Linked DNA regions of Diceros bicornis minor. The protein of the gene in region 3 interacts with the protein of the main gene of each other region in a biochemical or structural test. Links are inferred from orthologs where the notes say so. Each region holds a gene or a part of one and is shown on either strand. Other genes may lie near its edges. The genes, in order: FGR, FNBP4 and KHDRBS1.

Region 1 (7,241 bases), about 3.7 Mb from region 3:
ATGTGACCATGCTCAGGTGGCTTTGTCAGAGGAGAGAAAGAGATGGAGAGAGCCAGAAAAAGAAAAGGCAGAGACAGACAGAGACTGAGAGATACAGACAGACATAAAGACAGAGAGACAAAAGGAAGAGATAGAGACAAAGAGAAACATTGTGATGCGCTGGTGTACTGACTCCTAAAAGAAAGAAAAAAGAAGGCCCTGATCTGTAGCATTTGCTGATTTCCGTGGTGTAAGTATTCCCACCATGGCCGATTTCAAGTTACCGAAGTGACTTCCTGAACGCTGAGCTGGAAAGAGACTGTCAGACTCAGCTCCCCAGAGCCAGTCCTAGCTGGCTCCAGCACATCGCTGCCAGAAAGAAACAAAAAGAGAGAGACAGAGACAGACATGGGAAGTAGAGACACAGAGCAACAGAGAGACAGAGACAGAAAATGAGACAGGCAGAGATGAAGAGAATGCCAGAGACAGATCGAGAACTAAAGAGACAGAAAGAGGGAGCAGGTTGGGTCCACTCTGTTCAAGCACCTGCCTGAAAATAGCCACCAAGACTCTTCCTCCTCACCTAGCTCGGATCACAACTAGTGCCAGTAATTCTTCAGAGAGCAATTTGACTTCCTAGAAAACTAGGTGGCAGTAACTATTAGTTTAAAAATGCTAATTTATTAAGCATCTACTCAGTGCCTGGCATTGTGCCAAGCAATTCCCTTACATGATCTCATTTAGCGACCCTATGAGCTAAGTTTTATGATTACCCCTATTTTACAGATAAGGAAACAGAGTCGCAGAGATGTTAAGTAATTTCCCCAAGACTACATAGTGAGTCAGGGAAACCTAAAAGGCAACCCCCACCAATTTGGCTCCAAAGCCCACCATAAGCACTGTTCTATTTTGTCGTCCTGGTAGAAGCAAGATGTGTGTCTCTTAATGAGCACTACAGTGTGCCAAGCCCTGTGCTACATGCTCTAAGTCCTCATTACAGCCCAGAGAGGGGAAGTGACCTGCCCAGGTTCTCTCAGGCAACCACTGATTATCATAGCCCTCAAATCTGAATCCAGGTCTTTTTTCTCAGTGCTGAACTTGGCTGCCTGCTAACGCCAGAAAGGAGGCAGCTCCAAGAGTGGCCACAGGCATCCTTGTCACTGTAGGCACTCAGGTCTGTTTATGACTATGCCTCTTAAACATCCGGCTGATAGGAGTCAACTTCCAGAGCCTCAGCTGGGTCAAAATCAGGTTGTGGGTGTCAGAGCTGAGGTCCAACGCTGGACCATGGTGCTCCTGCCTTCGACTTCTCCCTCTGTGTGGCCCTACCGAGCTCTATAGTATTAGCTCTGGGACTTTGGATGAATGACATAAGCCCTCCGAGCCTCAGTTTTGGCATCTGTACCTTCTGTGCAGTTGTTGGGAAGATTTGAAGAGACGTGGCTCTTGCCCAGGGTGCAGTGGCCGAGTGAGGCTGAGAACCACAAGCAGCAAAGCTAGACTGGCCCCCAGGGACCACTTATCAGTCCATCCTCTTCTTGCGTATAGGGGGAACTGGCTTGCTCCAGGTCAAATAGCCAGACAGGGGACTCAAAGCCAGGACTATTAACTCAGGTCCAGAGTTCTGTTCCTGGCACTGTGGCTGTGTTCCCCACAGCCTGAGCAGGAGGTCATGCTGTCCCTGACTGGTGAACGTCATATTTCCTACTCAGTCCCTGACCAAGTGAACATACCACTCCTGCCATATGGCAGCGGGCCACTCAGCAGGTAGCCTGCCTCCTGCACACCCCTACTCCTGGACACAGGATCCCCAGGCCCACCCATCCTTTCTTGAGGTCCACACTTCCCAAAGCCATGTCAGGGCTTTGATGTACACACAGGATGTCTTGTTCCCTGCAACCCCTGCCAAATATCTGTGGGATCTGGAGATTTAGGCTCAAATTCTACCTGGCCTGACAACTAGCTTGAGACATTGGGCAAATGAGTTCACCTCTCTGAGCTGTAGTTCCTTTGCCTAGAAAATAAGAATATAAATCTCTACCTCATAGGGTTGCTTCTGAGTATCTAACGCGGTCAAGCCCCTGAAAGCACCTGGCATAGAGTAGGTGCTCAGTGAACTTTCAGTTCTGCTCCTTTCCCTTGAGGAAGGCCCCTCCAAGGCCAAGGGAGGGGGAGTGGCAGGGCTGAGAAGAAAGAGAAGTTCCCAGGGTGAGGTGGGAGGGCTGAGCTGGCCCAGCCACCTGGGGGATTTCACCAAAAGGGAACTGGGACTTTGGGCAGTGGCAGGAAACCACCATCCTGCAAGAGTTCCGGCTTCTCCTCAGGGCTCTGGGCTGGCCAGGGGCAGGGCACAAGTCTCAGCCCAATTGCACCCATCCCTCACCAAGACCTGACTTTCCTGACTGAAGGCTTCCATCCCTCACTCTCAGAGACTCTGCACCTCACTGAACTCCAGTGCCCTTACTGAGCCCTCATCTCCTTCACTGAAGCCCCTACTTCTCACTGAACCTCCAATCATCGCACACCATCCTTTCTTGAAGCCTTCCAACCTCCTACCCCTGAACACCCAGGGGCTAAGAAGACATACCCCAGTCTGACTCTACCACACTGGTGGGGCCAGGTGTGTTGAGGGCAGAGGGGAGGAAGAAAGGGGGGGAGAGGTGGCCTATCCATGCCACACTGGCTTTACCTTCCACATGGTCTGGGAGTGTCAGCTGAATTTTCTCCACTTCTTATAGGTAAAAGTGGTTTCTCATCTGTTGCTGAAAACTCACCCACCAGCCTCTAAAACAGAGGTCTTTAGGGATTCAAGACTCTTGGGAGATGGGAGCCATGGGTGGTCCAGGGAGAGCTGAGAGAACAGGAGTCTAGATTCCACAGTGTGGCCAGACAGGAAGCCCCCTCCCCGGGGCCCATCATAGGCCAGCCTGGTCTGCTCTGTGCAGAAAGGGCTCTGTCTCCTTCTTCCCCAGCTCTGGGGTCCCCCTACCAAGCCTCTCAAGGTCTGGCCACTTCCTTTGCTACATCAGCCCCAGGTGGCTGCAGAGAACACCTGAACACCCACACATATGCTCACACGCTCATGCTCCTTCACTCAAAGCCCGAACCATACTCACAAACACTCACACCCTCACTCACAGCTCCATGCCCACCATGGAGCAGGAGCCAGCATGAAGCCCATGACATGAACTCCATACCTTCTCTCTCACTCTCTCCCCTCCCAGAGAGCTACAAGGGGTTTGGTAGGGATGAGGAGAGAACTAAGGCCTCAGCTCTGGCTACCTTCCTCACCACATCACGGACAAGATGCCCTGGACTCCAAGTCCCTACTGCCTGCCCTGTCAGTGACTCTCCATCTTCCCATCTGTGAAGTGGGAACAGAGCTCTGCTCTCCCACCACCACCACAGAGGGAAGGATGCCAAAAGACTCAGGGATCACTGGGTGTGGCACCGTGGGGGCTGGGGACAGATCTAAAACCTGCTGACTTTCCCAGGATGGGCCCTCAATATATCCACAAACATTTATTTATTTATTAGATATCAACTGTGCACTGGTCCCAGGAGGTCCTGTCAGGCTTTGTGGTGCCCCTACCTGCTTTCCGGAAGGTGAAGGAGAGGCTCCCTGGTCAGTGAGAACACTTTACCCCTCCAGGACACTCGGCAAAAACTGCTTTCTGCCTGATTCTCCTGACTAGGGATGGGGTGGGGCGTGGGGGCTGGGCAGGGGCAGAGATCATTTCCCCCCATGATTCAAATGGGGAAAATGAGGCCCAGAGAAGCCCCATACTTGCCTAAACTCACACAGCAATCAAGGCGCCAGTCTGGCTAAGTCCCTGAGATTGCATATTCCCCACCCCAGGATCCCTGAACACTGAGCATCATCGCCTTATTTTTCTGTGGGGCAGCCGCCCCCAACAAAGGACCGCAAATGGGGGCGGGGTTGGGACCCAAATGGGTTGCGCCGGCAATGCGCCCAACTGCAGCCAAGCGCGGGGTTCTGCCTCTCCGCCCTCTTGTTGCCATGGAGACAGCCCCTCCCGGCAATCGCGGTCAAAGGCAGGATTTCCGTCGGGGCGGCCAGCAATTCCCGGATCCCGAGGGGAACGTGGACCGAGACCGCCACCGCGGGCGGAGAGGGGGCACCCAGAGAGGCCCATCCCTGCTGAGGGCGGGGTCTTCCCCAGGAAGCGGGGAACCATGCCTTTAGCGCCTTGAAGGAGTCCCCTCGCCATCCGGGACCAGCCCACCAGTGAGGGGGCGGGAGGGTCTAGGGAGCTGCATCCCCGCTACTGGCTTCACCCCTGATTTCTGCCGATTTGGGATAGGGAGACTTCCAGGACCCCCAGAATCGCGCCCCACGTTCTGCATCGTCCAGAAATGGTTCTCCTTGACTCCCTTTGGGAGACCTCCTCACCTGACCCTCCTAGTCCCCCCACCTAGTTACCCTCTTCCAGAGCCCTCAGTTTCTCCCCAAATCCTCACTTTCAACGTCCCCTCAATTTCTCCTCCAACCCCTTTGGGGGGGGTCCCCTTAGTCTCTCTCCCCCGACTCAGCCCCCTTCCCAAATTCTATCAATCTTACTCTACAGGTTTCCCTCCGTTTTCCCCACCAGAGCTTTTTGGGGGATCCCTTTAGTCTGCTTTCCCCATGTTCCCTCAGCCCCCTCCCCAAATTTTACCAGTCTCACTCTGCAGGTCTTCTCAGTTTTCCTCCTTAGGTCCTTTTAGGGATGAGGCCGCTTTGACCCTCGACTCCCTCAGCTCTCCCCGCCAAGTTCAGACTGACTCCCCCCAGCCCTCCCCCAGGGGCCGCGGGCGGGCCGGGGGCGGGGCACCGCGCGGCTCCTCCAGCCCACCTGACGGCCGCCTACCTGGTCCCAGGGCAGGCCGCTCCTGATGGATCCCAGGACGAGCCAGCCGGGGCTCCCAGCAGCCACGAGTGGCGACGTGGGGTGGGGGGAAGTGGGGTGCTGCCCGCCTCTGACCGCCGCCCCCTCAGGGCAGGGAGGAGGAAGCCGCCTTGGACTTCTCTTATTGCAGCCGCAGTAGCGGCGGTGGCGGCGGCGGCGGCGGCGGCGGCGGCGGCGGTGGGGAGAACTCGCAGTCACGCCCCAGCCCCAAGCCAGCTGCCTGCGGCGGGGAGGGGCCCTCAAATTCCAGGCCCTCCCGCCCCCACTTCCCGCCTCCCCCGGGTTACTGGGGGTCGGCTCTCCCAGCCCTCTCCCTGCACCCCAGCTCCACCCCCCAGACCTCAACCCCCAGCACAGCCTTCTCAAAGGCCCCCAACAAGGGGGCAAGTTCCTCACTCTCAAAAGCACCTTCTCATTTAGAATCATTGCATTTGAGGTTAAGAGGGGCTTTTCTTTATTGCTGAAGCCCACTCCCCCCTTTTGCAGCTGGGAAAACTGAGGACCAGATGGGGACAAGCCTTACCCAAGTTCTCACAGTTGGTTGACCCCAGACTCTTGTCACCAGAGCCACTGCAGATCCAGTCACCAAGCCTTGCCATCCGCAGGGGCTGGGCACTGGGGACAGGGCATGATGGACAGTGGGGAGCAGCAGGAGACCCCTCTCTTAGGAAACTGCTTTTCAGAGGAATCAGCCCTCAGGCCACACTGAAGGAGGGGGAGGGTGTCAGCCTCCCACACACACCCAAGTTTTAGAAAAACTGAGTATCATCCTCTATCACAGTTCCAGCCTTTCCAACTAGCAGGGATCCCTGACCCCCCTCAACCTGGCATTCAACACCCCCTCCCGCCATTGTTACTGCTTCTGCCTTAAACCAAGGACCAGGAAAATTCCTCCTGTCTGGGGAGGAAGAGATGCGTGTGCAAGGGCTGTTTGGTGGAGAAGTATGTGTGTTGGAATACGGCAGGGAGGCATGGAGAGTGTGTAAGCACAGACGTGTGTGTGTGTGTGTGATTGTAGGCAATGAACTCGATGACTGCAATTTTGGAATCAACAACTGGGACACATTGTGCAGGCTCAAGTGTTTCTATGTATGAGCAGGGATGTGTGTGAATGCCTGTGTGTGTGCTCAGGTGTGTCCCAATGTGATTGTGGGATGGCAGAGAACGGTGGGATGCAGATAAGAACGCTTTTCGCTTAGAAAAATGGGAGGAGGGATGGGGAGGAAGACACAGGGGGTGAGGCGGAGGAGCAAGGACTTGGGAAGTGTGGTCTCCCTCTGGCTGGGCACCAGCACCTCCACCATCAGGCAGCCCTTGAGCGGCCGTTGGTCTGCATGTTCAACTGACAAACAAACATTTGTCACTGCCAGTCAGGCGCCAGGCTTAGGGAACACAGATATGAAAGAGACTGGTGCCTGCCCCTGGGGGACCCCTCAATCTATCAGTTTCTTTCTGTCATCCTTCAAGGTCTGGCTCTTCAGGAAGCCTTCCCTGATTGGCACCGCCATCCCCAGCAGAGCACTCAGCACCTTCTTCCTGGTTCCTGGGGTGTGGGCGTGTGAGATACATTTTCCTCAATGGCAAGAACTAGGTCTGGTTCTTGTCAATGCCCCCAGTGCCCACACAGTGTCTGGCACAGAGAAGCTGGTTCTCTGGGCATAGGAATGCATGAATCCATCAAGGAACAAAGGAATTAACAGGTGAACAGATGAAAGCCCAATGAAAAAATAAATAATTGAAGGTAAGAATTAAAGAATGAATGAAGACATTCAAGAATCAATGACTGAATAAGCAAATGAATGAAAGAACAACACTGCTTCTGCTTTTAAAATACAAATTGGACCACATAAATTCCTTGCTTAAAACTGTCTATTGGCTCACCTCCCATTTCACTTGGAATAATAAAAATAAATAAAATAAGATAATAATAGGGAAGAATAAAATCCAAATGCCTTGTCATGGCATCCCAGGCCTTGTGTGCCTGGCCCCTGCCCACCTCTCCAGTCCTATCTGGGGCTATCTTCCTCTTCACCTGCACTGGAATCTTTTTCAGTTCCTAGAAGACACTGAGTTTTTGTCTCATAGTCTTCTCACGCACTCTTCTCTCTTCCTATGATGCTCTTCTCATTACTCTTCACAGTACTGGCTCCTTTCTTCTTTTACCTAAAGTGCTGCCTCCTCAGAGAAGCCTTCCCTGACAACCCCATCAAAGGAAGTCCCCTCAATCTTGGTCTCAGCACCCAGTTTGTCTCCTTCATGGCAGTTGTCACAATCTAGAATTGTGTATTTCTCAGTTCATTGTTTGTTGTCTCTGGATCTCTCTTGACCAGATCAGGGGTCTGACCTCAAGAG
Region 2 (7,241 bases), on a different chromosome or scaffold from region 3:
TTCAGAGCCACAGTCCTTAGCAGTCTTTTTTTGAGGGGTGCCAACTCCTCAAACCTCAGTTTGCTTACCTTAAAAGATGGTGCCATACAATTTGCAAATCAACTAATTATATTAGGCAGTAAATTATTTCTTAGGTATGTACCTTACTTTCCTAATCAGCTTCCAACAGTAACAGTAACTGTCTTATACTTCTAGTAACTCTATCATTTCCTCATAACATTGTTTGAATAGTGGTTTTTAATCTTTTCGGTTACTTGATCATAGAAACAATTAACATTCAATAAGATAAAAGCTATGGACCCTCTCCCAGGAAAACATACTTTAGTGTGCCATTGCAGGAGATTCAGAGACCTCTGACACCCATCTGTGGAAAGCTAAGTACCCTTTTCTAGAAGATGCTTAAATACTGTTGACTATCATAGTCGTCTATTGACCTAATTTAATAGCTTACTCTGAATTTTTCCTGAAATAATTTCACATGCATACACCATAATATTTTTCACCATAATAATATGCTTGCTCTACCATATTTATAAAAGCATACTTTAACAACTTAAGACTTTTATTTCATTTTTGTGGAAAGAAATCTGGCATGTTTCTAGTGATGAAGATAAAATCCTTTAACTAAAATCATCTTAAAAAAATAAGGGCCAGCCTAGTGGTGTAATGGTTAAGTTCACGCCCTCTGCTTTGGCGGCCCAGGGTTTGCGGGTTCAGATCCCAGGTGTGGATCTATGCCCCGCTCGTCAAGCCATGTTGTGGCGGCATCTCACATACAAAAAATAGAAGAAGACTGGCACAAATGTTAGCTCAGGGACAATCTTTCTCAAGCAAAAAGAGGAAGACTGGCAACAGATGTTAACTCAGGGCCAATCTTCCTCACCAAAAAAGAAAGAAGAAAAGAAAAAAACAGTCAATTCTAGAGTATCTACTCTAACAGTTACCCAAATATGCAAATAATGGAAAATTGTTTCCCTTTGATTTTTATTTGACACGTTTTCTTATCTATTATACCAAGTGGCAGGTAAGAACTGAATAAAGCCAATACATTGTTCTGTTGCAGGATGAAGTTAAACAGAATAAAAACATTCTGTTCACAAGGCACATAAAGGCCTGAAGCACTCAACGACATGGCAATCATGGAAATTTCTCCAAGGAACATTTAAATTCTACCCATCTTACAGGATTCTTAGAAGAGTTTAATGAAATAATATATGTCGTTTACAAATAGAAAACGGTATTTTCTCATTCTGAAATTTCTCTCACAACCAAGTTTTAGCTTTTCTAACCCACACTGGTGTTTTTGTTCTGGTTTTTTTTTTTTTTTTTTTTTTTTGTGAGGAGATCAGCCCTGAGCTAACATCCGCCAATCCTCCTCTTTTTTTGCTGAGGAAGACGGCCCTGGGCTAACATCTGTGCCTATCTTCCTCCACTTTATATGGGACGCCGCCACAGCATGGCTTACCAAGCAGTGCGTCGGTGCGCGCCCGGGATCCGAACCAGCGAACCCCGGGCCGCCGCAGCGGAGCGCGCGCGCTTAACCGCTTGCGCCACCGGTCCGGCCCCTCTGTTTTGTTTTTTTAAGCAGCAAATTGAAGGAGGGGAGAACAAGCATTTACTATTTCAGGTGTCATGTAGTATAAAAGTACTCCAAACTAAATAGAATAAAATCACTACCAATTACAGAATATTTGTATCAAAACATATTTTAATCTTTCAAAATCTTTAAAGAGTAGAGAAAACTAACATTCTTGGACTCGCTGTGTCAGAACGTTGCATACACTATTCAATTTAATCTTCAAAATAACGTAGGGCTGTAAAACCCATTTTACAGATGAATGAAGTCCCGAGGTCTTAAGAGTGAATGCTAGAGTGGTGATTTGAAGCCAGCTTTGTCTATAACACCACTACTGACAATATTCCTCCATGCTTAAAAAAATATTTAATAAGAGCAATATTCTGCTCCACAAACATTTGCCAAGTAATAATCAAAGCAGTGTGTTAGAAAAGAAATGGAATAAGAAGACATCGCTCGTGTCCCTAAAGAAAGCAAGCTAGCTGAGGAGCCAGAAAACTAGTTATAAAATAGCATTACAAGAAAAGACAGTACAAAGTGCACTGGGTACAGAGAAAAAGCAACCACAAATTTTACACTGGTCAAAGTGTGTGTACTAACAAGCCCTCACAAACAGAAAGATTTTAAATCTCCATTTAAAATATAACAAATGGGCCGGCCCCGTGGCTTAGCGGTTAAGTGTGCGCGCTCCGCTGCTGGCGGCCTGGGGTTCGGATCCCGGGCGCGCACCGACGCACCGCTTCTCCAGCCATGCTGAGGCCGCGTCCCACATGCAGCAACTAGAAGGATGTGCAGCTATGACACACAACTATCTACTGGGGCTTTGGGGGGAAAAATAAATAAATAAAATTATTAAAAAATAAATAAATAAAATATAACGAAATTTATTTATATTCCAAATATGAATCAGCAACACTGAAGCATTCGACAAAAGCACTCTATATACAAACCTAAATATTGGAGAAAAGATGCAAAAAACAAAACAAGCTATACCTGTTGCTTTGACGGCTGTGGGTCTGGTGGTCATGACTGGTTTTGGAGGATTCTGAACAACTCTGGGAATCTCCACCACCACCTCCTGTTCATCTGGATTTAACGAACAGAAAAAAACTACCGTCAGACGATGGACCCGAGACAACACTACAGGTGACAAAACAATCCTTGATTTGACCTTTCAAGTTTAGATGCCATCGATTGAAAAACAGGGTGTATAATCCATCAGTGACCCAAATAATTGGGAAATGATAAACAAGTAGCTGGAATCTTCCATTTCGTTAGGGACTTTAAGAACCTGAACAGCGCATATAAAAATTCCATCTGAAATAATTCAAAAAAAAAAAAAAATACACACACGAAAGCTCCAGGCTGCCATCGGGCCTTGACAACAGGCAGGGCTGGAGCATTTTTCCCCGCAACAGCTACCCAACGTGGTTTGTTTTTTTTATCAGAAATGGTCGCAGCGATGAATAGTTACTCTTAACGCAAGGACCATTCCGCGGAGAAACACACAAGGACTCGGGACCCCACGAGCTCCACTTCTCCAGGAATCTCGGGGACACCTGCCCATTTGGGGCTCCTTATGCTCTGGCTGGCATAATCAAGAGTCCACTCATTTCTAAAGGGTCTCTTTCAGTTTCGACAAAAACGAAAGGAAGAGCAGGTGACGTGTAGAAAGGGCCAGGGTCCTCTGTCACCAAGCCTCGGACGCGGAAGCTCAGCCCGTCACACGCACCCCTAAGTTACCCCAAGGCGCGCGCGGACGCAAAGGAGACCAGGAGACTCGGGCAACTCCTGCAGCAGAGATGGCGGCACCTCAGGGTCGCTCGCGGCGGCGCACACGGCTCCGCGGCCCCTTCCGCCGCCCTGGGGCCCACAGCCGTCGTCCCGCAGGCCCCGCGCAGCAGGCCACGGGCGCGGACGCCGCCCCGCCCGGGCTTCTCTTCCTCCCAGGGCCGGCCCGCGAGGCCTAGGCCGCAAGCCCCGAGTTCGAGTTTCGGCCGCCCCACTAGCGGCCGGGGCCTCTGGCACACCCTCACCTTCTGAAGGCGAGTCGTCTGGGGCCGCGGCGGCAGTCACCGCGGTCGTCGTGGTCGCCGGCGCCGCCGGGGCTGGCTGGCTGGACGCCGCCGCCGTCGAGTCCGGCTCGGTGTCGGGTTCCGGCTCCGGGTCCCGGCCCGGCGTGCTGCTCCGGGGACCCGGCGGAGAGAGCTGCAGGATGGGCCTGCGGCCGGGTACCGCCCGGGACTTCTTCCCCATCGCGAGCCCGAGCGCGAGCCGCGAGCGTCGGGCAGCCGAGAGGGGCGGGCGCTCGGCACGGCGCTGCGTAATCAATATTCATGCGCCGCAACACCGCCTCCAGCGACCATCCGCTTTTGACCGGCCGAGCGCGCGTCCGCGCAAGCGCCTTGAGCCCCCTACGCTCTTCTGGCTCCTCCCCCCGAAGGAGAAGGGCGGGCTTTACCTACGGCGCTAGGCGATTGGCTATTTTGACCCATGGAAGGAGCCAGTAGCCAATGGAATAGGAAAAAGAATGAGACGCAAGCCAGTAGTGCGGAAGGGCCTCAGTATAGAATGGCCCCTCGTTACCTCGGGCTCCACCCATGCGTTTTTTGCGGAGTCTTCTCTTTATCTCCTTGTCGTCCATCTTGTGTCTGTTCTCGGCTAACTCTTCATTGTTGTTTGGCTTCTTGGTTGCTGCGCTGCTTTCCCGGCTCTTCCGCAAGCTTCGCCCTGGTTATTGTGCCTTACTTTGGGTATAACACTGTATATTAAATAGAATAGTGGGTCTTTTATGCGTTTGCAGATTTTTTCTTAGAGCACAAAGATGATGTCTCGTATTATGCTGCTTATCAGCTGGAAAAAAATCACTAGACATTATACTGCATATGAGGAAAAAGCCTAAGTTGTTGCGAGGGGATACAAGAGCCTTCCCGATCTGGCCCTCTGGTATCCCCAGCCTGCTTTATTAGATTTATCTTCTTTTAGCAGTCTCCCCTGCCCTGCTCCCCTCATCTCACCTCTGGAGCCGGCCACGTGGAGCATCATCTCCCGTCTTCAGTCCTTCACATTAGCTGAAATAACTACTGCATCACGTGGCGAAATAATTCTCATTCCTCAAGACCCGGTGCAGTCATTACTTTCTGAACCTAATATCTCAATGCCAAGCCCCACCCCAGCCCTTGAGCTTAAGAAAAAATCCAGTGGGAGTCAACAATATTGTAATAACTTGTTGTGATGACGGATGGTTATTAGTCTTATCAGGGTGATCATTTTATAATGTAAATAAATGTGAAATCACTATATTGTACACTTGAAACTAATATGATGCTGTATGTCAACTATACTTGAAAAAAAAAAAGGAAGAGGAAGAAATTCAGTGTATTTATATCCCCAGTGTCTAATTCAGTTCTTACTAGAGCATACTAATAATGTCTAACATTTATTGAGCACTTACTGTGTGTCAGGCACTGTCTTAACGCTTTACATGTAAAATTGCATTTGATTCTTACAACAACCTTGTAAGATAGATATTATCCCTAATTTATAGATGAGCCCTCAAATTGGTTGTTGGATACAAAAGCCGTGAAAGCAGAGACTTGTCTGCTTTGTTCCCTGTATATCAAATGCATTTTCTGAAACATAAGCACTTGAAGCTGGGTACCTGAGGGTCACTGTAGATACTCAACAAGAACATGATTGCCAGGGCCAGCCCGGTGGCGCAAGGGGTTAAGTGTGCGCGCTCTGCTGTGGCGGCCCGGCGTTCGCAGGTTCGGATCTCAGGCGCATACCCACGCACTGCTTGGTAAGCCACGCTGTGGTGGCGTCCCCTATGAAGTAGAGGAAGATGGGCACAGATGTTGGCTGAGGGCCACTCTTGCTCAAGAAAACAAGGGGAGGATTGGCATCGGTGTTAGCTCAGGACTAGTCCTCCTCACCAAAAAAAAAGAATTTGATTGCCTTTCGACCATCTTCCCAACATAGACGTAGATGAATTTTGTCAAATTGCTGTTTTCTTGTTTAACCTGAGGGGTGACTTAGGGGTCTGGAGGATTTGTGCACTTGTTTTGCAGAAGAAAAAGAATGCCTTTGGGGAGGTTGTGATCGCTGATCCCCAGATGACCAGCCCCCAGCTGCCTTTGATGGCCAGAAGTCAGATTGCCCAAGGGCTTCTCTGGAGTGAAAGGTGTTTCTCTGGAACTCCTTGTGCCAAGCCCCTTAGCTCTACAAACCACCCCCCTGCTTTCTTCTCTTGTTAAGGTGGATTTGAGAGAACCCATCCTCCCGCCTTCCTGTTTTGGCCAGTTCCAATAAAGCCTTTTTCCATCTCCAACCACCAACGGCTCAGTGATTGGTCTACTGCACATTGGGCACAAGAACTTGAGAATAAGTGGTTCAGTATCACCCAGAGTTTTTAAATGAATATAGTGTATGAATATATACAAACTTGAAATAAGTAGCAAGAGTTCTTTCCTTGTCTTTCCTATGGGAGGAATACCTGGATTATGTCCTGAGATTAGACTCCTAAGATTTCTGAAAAATTAACAGCTCGAAGGGGAGGGACAATTTGCTATTTGGAAGCCATTAGCAATTTTCAGATTTATTTCTTGAAGGGAGCGGCATTGAAATATGGTAGCTGTGCTTAGGATACAGCTGTGCATCAAACATCTGGATTCAAAACCCAGCTCCAACACCTTCCAGATATGATTGCTTGGAGAAGTTTCTTAGCATCCCTAAAATTGTTTCTGCAACTGTAAAATGTGTTAGTAACAGTATTCACAGGGTTGTTGTGAAGTTTAAATTAGATCAAGTTTTAAGCTCTTTGCATTGCACCAGGAACAAAATGAGCAATCATTATATGGTAGCTATTATTACTTTTTTTTTTTTTATAATTTTATTTATTTATTTTTCCCCGAAAGCCCCAGTAGATAGTTGTATGTCATAGCTGCACATCCTTCTAGTTGCTGTATGTGGGATGTGGCCACAGCACGGCCAGAGAAGGGGTGCGTCGGTGCCGCCTGGGATCCGAACCCGGGCTGCCAGCAGCGGAGCGCACGCACTTAACCACTAAGCCACGGGGCTGGCCCAACTATTATTACTATGAATGAAACTTTTGTTTACACAAAAGTCCAGATGCTGTTATAAAGCTGACTGGAACCAAGTTGACATTATGAGCTAAACCACAATGCCTAGAAATGTGAAAGACTGTTTTCCTTGGGGGAAACTTAAATTTCTGGAGGTGACTGTTATGTTTATATCCAGGGTTCTCAACTCTGGCTGTTCATAGAACCACCTGGAGACCATTAAAGCAGTATAAGAATCTAAATCAGTTGGATTGAGGGTGGAAGTGCAAGGCCCATATCAAATTTTTTTTTTTTATTTGGTGAGGAAGATTGGCCCTGAGCTAACATCTGTTGCCAATCTTCCTCTTTTGGCTTGAGGAAGGTTGTCCCTGAGCTAACATCTGTGCCAACCTTTCTCTATTTTATATGTGGGACGCCACCACAGCATGGCTTGATGAACAGTGTGTAGGTCCGCCCTTGGGATCTGAACCTGCGAACCCCAGGCTGCCAAAGCGGAGTGCATGAACTTAATCACTATGCCACTGGGGCAGCCCCCCAACATCAATTATTTTTTAAAAAGCTCTTTAGGTTATTCTAATGTTTAG
Region 3 (7,241 bases):
TACATCGCAGCCTCAGCAACCCATCACCTGCCTCAGAGATTACCTTTTGTGTATCTCACCAAGAAGAAGAGCTCAAAGCTCCCCTTGACCCCACCCTCAGAGAAACTAAGCAAAAGGTTTGACAGCCATCTGGAAAGACTGCTGATTTTAGTCTAGATACCCACAGATACCACTACCCAGCTCCTTCTCAGACACTTCTTCATCAAAGTTTTATTAGCCTCAGCTCAAGGTACCTCCATCTGGGCATCTCATTACAGAGCAAGGACACTTCAGCCATTTGTAACACCACCACCCAAGCAGGATTTTCAAGGATAGCAGCAGAAATGAGTTGCAACGGAGCTATAAATCCTCCTTGCCCCCTTTCCCCTCCTCCATGCATTTGCTCTATCCACCCACCTATTTCTTCACAGTCCACAACTGGATTACGACTCCCATTCCTTACCCACGTCTCTGCTCATTTATTCACACTTCCCTTCTGCTGGAACTCATTCTCCCCTGGCCGAAATCTATCTTCCGCTTTGAGCTGCAATCGCACTTAATATTCACTTATCTTTTGGCATTTGTCACATTACATTTTTCATTCCAATTATTCAAAAACATTCTTTTTTTTTTCTCCTACTTGACTATAAACTACCTATGTGATCTTAAACTACAGTACTGCACCACACACTGGAAATACATATGTATAATACATGTGTGATAACTGATGGAGATACTTGTGTTTTGTTCTCATTTCTGTGGATGATTTCTCTCCCCCGTCCCCAAGAAGGTAGCCAGGCCTTAATGTTCTCTAGTTGAAGGCTTCTAAGTTTCAGATCCAAATATCAACAGTTTCCAGGCACCCAGAGGACAATTTCCAGAAATGCTTTTGAAAAGCCTGGGCTTATTAGAGGAACTGATCCAGAAGGAAAAGGGATGGGAGTGAGTGCTTTGAATGGGGGAAGCAAAAATCTGTGGAGGGAAGGAAGGGTTAGAGAAGGCACCAGCTCTCTTGAGCCTTTATGGGACAGTAGAGACGTAAGCTCCTTTTGCATATAGCACTCGAGGGATGAGGAGAATGCTGTGGGAGACTGTCCGCTATATACCTTGGCCTTTAGAGCAGTAGTAAGGGTCTGTCTCTTTGAGCAAGTCTGGAACGATCCATTGTGAAGGCCCAACAAAGGCAGGATTAGCACTCACATCCGTATAAAGAGCCACCCTAATGATGCAACCATCAGGGATTAAGGACCTGGTCTCTACCCCACTTTTTTGCGGAAGAAACACAAGTCAGCAGAAAGCAGTACTATACGTAAAGAGCTAAAATGCTTCATCTTTTAAGACTTCTCTGACCAACAATGGCAAATGTTTTAGAGCCTTTTATACTGGAAACCATAGGATACGACTTCTTGGGTTCCCTGCTTTGGTCTGGTGCCCTTTGCTAGATTTCAGGTCTCCTACCTGAACCTTACCTCTTAGTTCAAGTCCTGCAATAGCCTTCGGTCTTCCCACTGACCCGTCCTTCCTCACTTGCTCCTCCAAGCTTCCTTTCCCCATCTCCACCCCTCATCCCTGCGTCAGACTCTCCCTTAGTCGTCCCCTTTTCACTCCTAGTCTCCCCTGCGCCCTGTCTGTTCCTCTCCTCCTGCCTAGACGGCCTCAATTTTCTCTCCTTCCCAGGCGGGTCTCCTTTCATTTCCATACTTTAGAGACCGCCCCCCTCGCCCGACCCCCCCACCCCCCATCCCCCCATCCCCCCACTGAGCACAGCCCGGCTCGGCGGCTCAGCCGTTGGAGGGGGCGCGGCCCCGCGAGTAACAGGTCTCCCCCCCCACACTCTGCGGGCTCGCGCGCAGACAAAGACATTCCACAGCCCCCGCCCCTCCGCGCACTCGGCCAGAAGGGGGAGGAGACACGTGTCCCGCTAGCGCCGAGTCACGTGGAAAAGAAAACGAACGAAGCCCGCGGCCACCCGCGCACGCGCACAGAGCTCTGGCCTGGCGGGCTCGGAGGAAAAAGGGGAGCGGGGAGGCGACTTCTTCGGGCTCCGCGGCGGTGCGCAAGCGCTGTGGCCCGACCGGGGACTTTGTTCTCCGCGGAGAGACCCAAGGGCGGTGCCGGCGGCTGGCTGCGCACGCGCGCCGCCTCATTTCCGGTGCTCTCTTTCGCTGGGTCGGTCGGGTCGCCTTCGGTCGCCGTCGCTCCCGCTCTCCCACCCCCGCCAACCGCCGCTCGGGCCTCCGCCGCTGCCGCGTCGCTTCCTCGATCCCTCGATCGCACATCCTCCCCAATGCAGCGCCGGGACGACCCCGCCGCGCGCATGAGCCGGTCCTCGGGCCGCAGCGGCTCCATGGACCCCTCCGGTGCCCACCCCTCAGTGCGTCAGGCGCCGTCTCGGCAGCCGCCGCTGCCTCACCGGTCCCGGGGAGGCGGAGGGGGGTCCCGGGGGGGCGCCCGGGCCTCGCCCGCCACGCAGCCGCCACCGCTGCTGCCGCCCTCGGCCACGGGTCCCGACGCGACAGTGGGAGGTCCGGCGCCGACCCCGCTGCTGCCCCCCTCAGCCACTGCCTCGGTCAAGATGGAGCCGGAGAACAAGTACCTCCCCGAACTTATGGCCGAGAAGGACTCGCTGGATCCGTCCTTCACTCACGCCATGCAGTTGCTGACCGCAGGTGAGCCGGCCTCCCGGGTCCCTCTGGGTCGCCAGGCCACCCGGGGGCACGGGTGGCAGCGGCTTTGTTCCGCTCGCATCCCTCCCCCTCGGGACCAAGGCAGGCGTGAACTCCCCTTCTTCTCTCATCCTCATTCTGGGGAGCCTGGATTCCACATTCCCGTCCCGGCCCAGGGTGCGAGGGGGAGTTTCTAGGCTGCAGAGGAGGCCCGAAGGGGACTTGGCGATCTCAAAGATCTGGATGGATAGTGCTGAGCTCCCCGCCCCCTTGCCGACCCTTCCCCCTCCCACCTCTCGCAGCTGCCCCGCGCTCCTGGTGCTCAGATGCTTCCAGAAATGAGCCTTTATCACCCCCTTCCCCCCAAAGGGAAAGCTTTTTTGATCTCGGGTGGCGGAAGGCGCCCCGAGTGAGGGTGTAGGAGGTGAAGACAGCCCGAGTGAGGAGGGACGGTGGGTGGGAAAGCCGAGGTGAGGCGAGGTGAGGCTGAAGTGCCCTGTCCAGCGCGCCGCGGTCGCAGGGGCGGGTCGGACTTAGCGGTAATTGACGCTTAAGTTGCTTGGAGGCAGGAGCAACCTGTGGGAATTGGAGCTTGATGTTTTCCGAATCAGATTTCCGACTTAGGCGGATAAAATGATAATTGCTACAGAGCCGGAAGTTTGGATCACTTTATTTTACAACGTGTGTTCATCATTCAAGAAGGGGAAAAATAACCCTAGAGACAGTGAAATCGGATGGTTAGAGGGAGGTAAAGGGTGGTTTGCATTTGTATTTCCGGTGAGGTGGACAGAAATTGAAAGAAGTTGCACGATGCTTCTACCTGAAAGGCTTGGTGTTTTTAGTTTTTTTCTTTTGGCTTCGGGAGTGAAATAGATTAGGAATAGTAGTCTTTGTTCTCTGTCTGTGGGCTAGCGCTCCTTTCCTGCTCAGCACTGGCCAATCACCTAGTCGCTCTGATTTCTCCGTAAAGCCGCCTGTTTTCCTCGCACTTTTAGTTAAAACGTTTTAATAAGTATTTGTTATGATACCTAAATTTTATTAAGCAAGTAAAAATTCACAACTCTCAACACTGAATGAGTAGTTGAACTCTTTGGCAAGGTTGATATAATGGACAGATGGTTATGAAAATATCGTTTCCCTCTCTTTGTTCTCTAGCCCCCAACATTGGTAAAGGGTCTTTACTTTTAAACACAATAAACAAAGCACGCAGTGGTCAAGAATAAGAATATTTAGATAAACTGCTTACATTTTCAACTCAGGGTTTTGCTGTTCTGTAACACAGATTGTTTGAAACATTAGTGTTCATTGTGTTCTTCTGGCAAGCTCTTTGAGGGCAAGGATTGCCTTTTATCTTGGTATTTTTCTTATTGCCTTGAATATAGCAAACACCAGGTGTTTGAATCTGAAAGCAAATACATGCAGATTTAGGAATGTCAGACTAAATGGTAAAGATCGATTCGGTAGTCTAATTTTTATTTCCTCAAATCTTTAATCAGTCCAGATTAAAAGAATGAAAACAGAATAACACACCTTTGAACTTTAAGATGTCAGCTTGGGTTTTGAAATTCTGACCATTAACTAGTTACTTACTCTTAGGAAACTCTGAACCTCAGTAACCTCATCTGTAAAGTGGGATGGTGAGTTGTGAGGATTAAATGATGTTTAAAAGCACCAGCACAGTTCTCTTTGGCCTTTTGACCTATTGTCAATAGATAATAACTTGTCACCACAGTTTTCTTCTAGTTGTAAATCCCTGGTTCTGAAAAAGGTATGAAAACACAAGATATTTTTTGCCTTTCTGACCACATCAAGTGCCCAATGTGGTGTTTGTCTTTTAAGTAAAACATGGTTTCTTAGGATAACCATCAAAAACTATTGATCCTTAAAAGTTACTTATAATTCTCACGCTTCTCTCACTGCTTAACTTCTGTTACGAGAGAGTGCTGTTTAATTTTTTTAACTTGGGCTTTTTTGATGTCTTTTTTTTTAACCAAACTGAAATTTTAATTGGAGAAATGGGATTAAGGTAATGCTGGCTTATTGAGAGAACAGATTTGGAGTGTATGGATACTTCTTAGCATGGATAAGTCATGACATATATTGGACCTAGCTTTTAAGGTATTTTTGAATGATCTGGAGAAGGGGTTGCAGTGGAGTCAACCAACTGTGCGGAAGTGAGACTCTGAGAAGACAGAATAGTGGTATCTAAGCTCTGATAAGGATACATGTAATAACAATATAGCTAACATTTATTGTGCCAGGCACTGGTCTGAGCACTTTACATCAAATATTTAGTCTTCATGACAATACTATGAAGAAGTTATCTTATCCTCACTTTTACGGATGAAGAAACCAAGGCACACAGAGATTAAATAATTTGCCTAAGGTAACAAAATTAGTAAGCAGCATAACTAGGATTTGAAGTCAGTCCAAGTCTGGATCTACACACCTAACCCTCTCCATGCCCACTACAGTACCTGTAACAAATTGAACTTAAAGTATTTTGTACCAGTTGAACAAAATATTAAAAGAAAATCTATTTGAATGCATGAGAGTGCTAGCTAACAGGGCAGTGAAGATGACAAGGCGGAGATACAGAAAAAGGAGGAAACTCAGCGAGCAGAGCCTAGCACTCGGCACTGTGACTTGCCCATTTCCCAAGAGGTGCCGCAAGACCCAGATGACTCTTCCTTTACTAGCCACACAGCTCTCTCTCTCCCTTTCCCAGCTTTACTTTATTTTGCACTTATCGGCATCTGATGCACCATATATTCTAGTTATGTGTGTTTGTTGACTGCCCCTTCTCCTTCATGGCTAGAATGTCCACCAGGGCACCAGGGCAGGGATCTTTTGTCGGCTTTGTTCACTGCTGTATCTCCTGTTCCTTGAAGAGGGCCACACAGAGTGGCCTCTTACTAGATGTTTGATAAATAAATATTCTTCGTTGCATGATGGAAAACTATCAACACAATTCTGAGAGATTTAGATTTTGAATATAGACTTCTATATTAGCCAAGTTGATATTCAACTATGATGACAGTTAAATGAAGTCACAGACGTGCAAGGACTTGGGGTACCCATGCTTGTTTTATGAAACAAAAGTAATTTATTTTTTGTGTTAAATATTTATATAACACACAGAAATGCTTTTATGTATATCAGTGTTCTTTTTCTACTTTCTATAATTAGGAAAATGTAAGTTAGTATAAATGACTCAGGAATAAGTAAACGTTTTGAATAGATTAAGGTAATCTGCAGAAGATCTTGCAAGGATACTCAGAAATCCATCTTCCGAAATCCATCTTCTTTGTAAATGGAGAACATTTACAAAGTTTGTTGAAACTTCAAAATAGTTCATTGCTTTATTTTATTTACAGTATACTGTAAAAATATATCTGAATGTTCCCATTTCATTCTACAGGGCTAGCAAAACCTATTCAAAACCAGAAAGTGGAATTGCAAAGGAATTATAGACCAAATATAGGTATAAGTATTAATATTAGGAAAGGAAGAGGCAGAAGTTATCACTATTTGCAATAACTTCATGGTTGTTGACCTAGGAAAGTGGTCAGTTATGTGGCTAATTACAAGATGAAGATGTGCAAATCAATAGGTTTCTGATATATGAGCAGTAGCCAATTAGAAAAGAATTGACAGAATGATCTCGTTTTTAGAATAGTGTCAAATGCCTTGGCATAAGCAATAAAAATCAGTTCAAAATGTATTGAATAATCATAACAAACAATAACAGTAATAATATTTAACCTTTGTAGAGCATGTAACGTGAGGTGTGCTACTCATTAATTCCATCCTCCTTGGCTATTCTATGCGATAGGAAGAATTTTTATCTCAATAATGCAGATGAGGAATATTGTGATCACATATTATCAATATGTGATAAATAAATTTTTACTGAAGGTGATAAAGGAAGATCTGAATAAAAAGAAAAATATGCCATGTCTTGGGCAGGAGTTGGGAGGTGGGGGAGGAACTAGTGTTATAAAGATGACAGAACTTTTAACTTAACATGTTGAATTTTTGCATTTTCCAAACGGATTCTGACTGGATTTACTTTTTCAGCTTGACATGTTGAATATAAAGTAGCTAAAAGAGTAAATGAAGATAAAAGAAAAAAAATTTTTGGAGACAGGAAAATAATGAAAACCTGCTACATTGACAAAAATTAAGTCAAACAGGATTTAGAGCTTGAGAGGATGTGGAATTAGAAGGAACTCTTAAACATTACTGGTGGAAGTATGAATTGGTACAACCACTTTGGATAACAGTTTGGCATTTCATCTGAAAGCTGAGCATTCAAATTCCTTAAAATTCAACAACATTATTCCTAGGAATATGCCCAAAGAAACTTGCACATGAATGCCTTATTCATAAAATGGTGCACCTTGTTCATAAAATGGTGTGACTTGTTTCATCATTGGCTGGATACTGTGAGATTTTCAAAATGAAATATTTATACGTCAGTGAAAATGAAAACTATGGCGACAGGCGATAGTAGAGAGAAATCTTGGAAATCTAATGTTAGGTGAAAAAGTAAGTCCCGTAAGGCTACATACATGCAATACAATGCTATTTTTA

The links.
Region 1: of the proteins of KHDRBS1 (region 3) and FGR, one has a biochemical effect on the other in vitro, tested with the Homo sapiens proteins (2 studies listed by BioGRID, with this or other methods). The link is inferred for Diceros bicornis minor from reciprocal best matches to the Homo sapiens genes KHDRBS1 and FGR.
Region 2: the proteins of KHDRBS1 (region 3) and FNBP4 form a complex in vitro, tested with the Homo sapiens proteins (2 studies listed by BioGRID and IntAct, with this or other methods). The link is inferred for Diceros bicornis minor from reciprocal best matches to the Homo sapiens genes KHDRBS1 and FNBP4.

Annotation. Positions count from the first base shown.
Region 1 is NC_080752.1:43,194,464-43,201,704, forward strand, and holds the start of FGR (tyrosine-protein kinase Fgr), read right to left. Parts: upstream 5,033-7,241; 5' UTR 4,851-5,032; intron 4,753-4,850; exon of another isoform or gene 4,659-4,752; intron 1-4,658. UniProt on the Homo sapiens protein: Non-receptor tyrosine-protein kinase that transmits signals from cell surface receptors devoid of kinase activity and contributes to the regulation of immune responses, including neutrophil, monocyte, macrophage and mast cell functions, cytoskeleton remodeling in response to extracellular stimuli, phagocytosis, cell adhesion and migration.
Region 2 is NC_080770.1:22,740,217-22,747,457, reverse strand, and holds the start of FNBP4 (formin-binding protein 4), read right to left. Parts: upstream 3,867-7,241; 5' UTR 3,833-3,866; coding exon 3,613-3,832; intron 2,663-3,612; coding exon 2,570-2,662; intron 1-2,569.
Region 3 is NC_080752.1:46,854,521-46,861,761, forward strand, and holds the start of KHDRBS1 (KH domain-containing, RNA-binding, signal transduction-associated protein 1), read left to right. Parts: upstream 1-2,008; 5' UTR 2,009-2,266; coding exon 2,267-2,648; intron 2,649-7,241. UniProt on the Homo sapiens protein: Recruited and tyrosine phosphorylated by several receptor systems, for example the T-cell, leptin and insulin receptors. Once phosphorylated, functions as an adapter protein in signal transduction cascades by binding to SH2 and SH3 domain-containing proteins.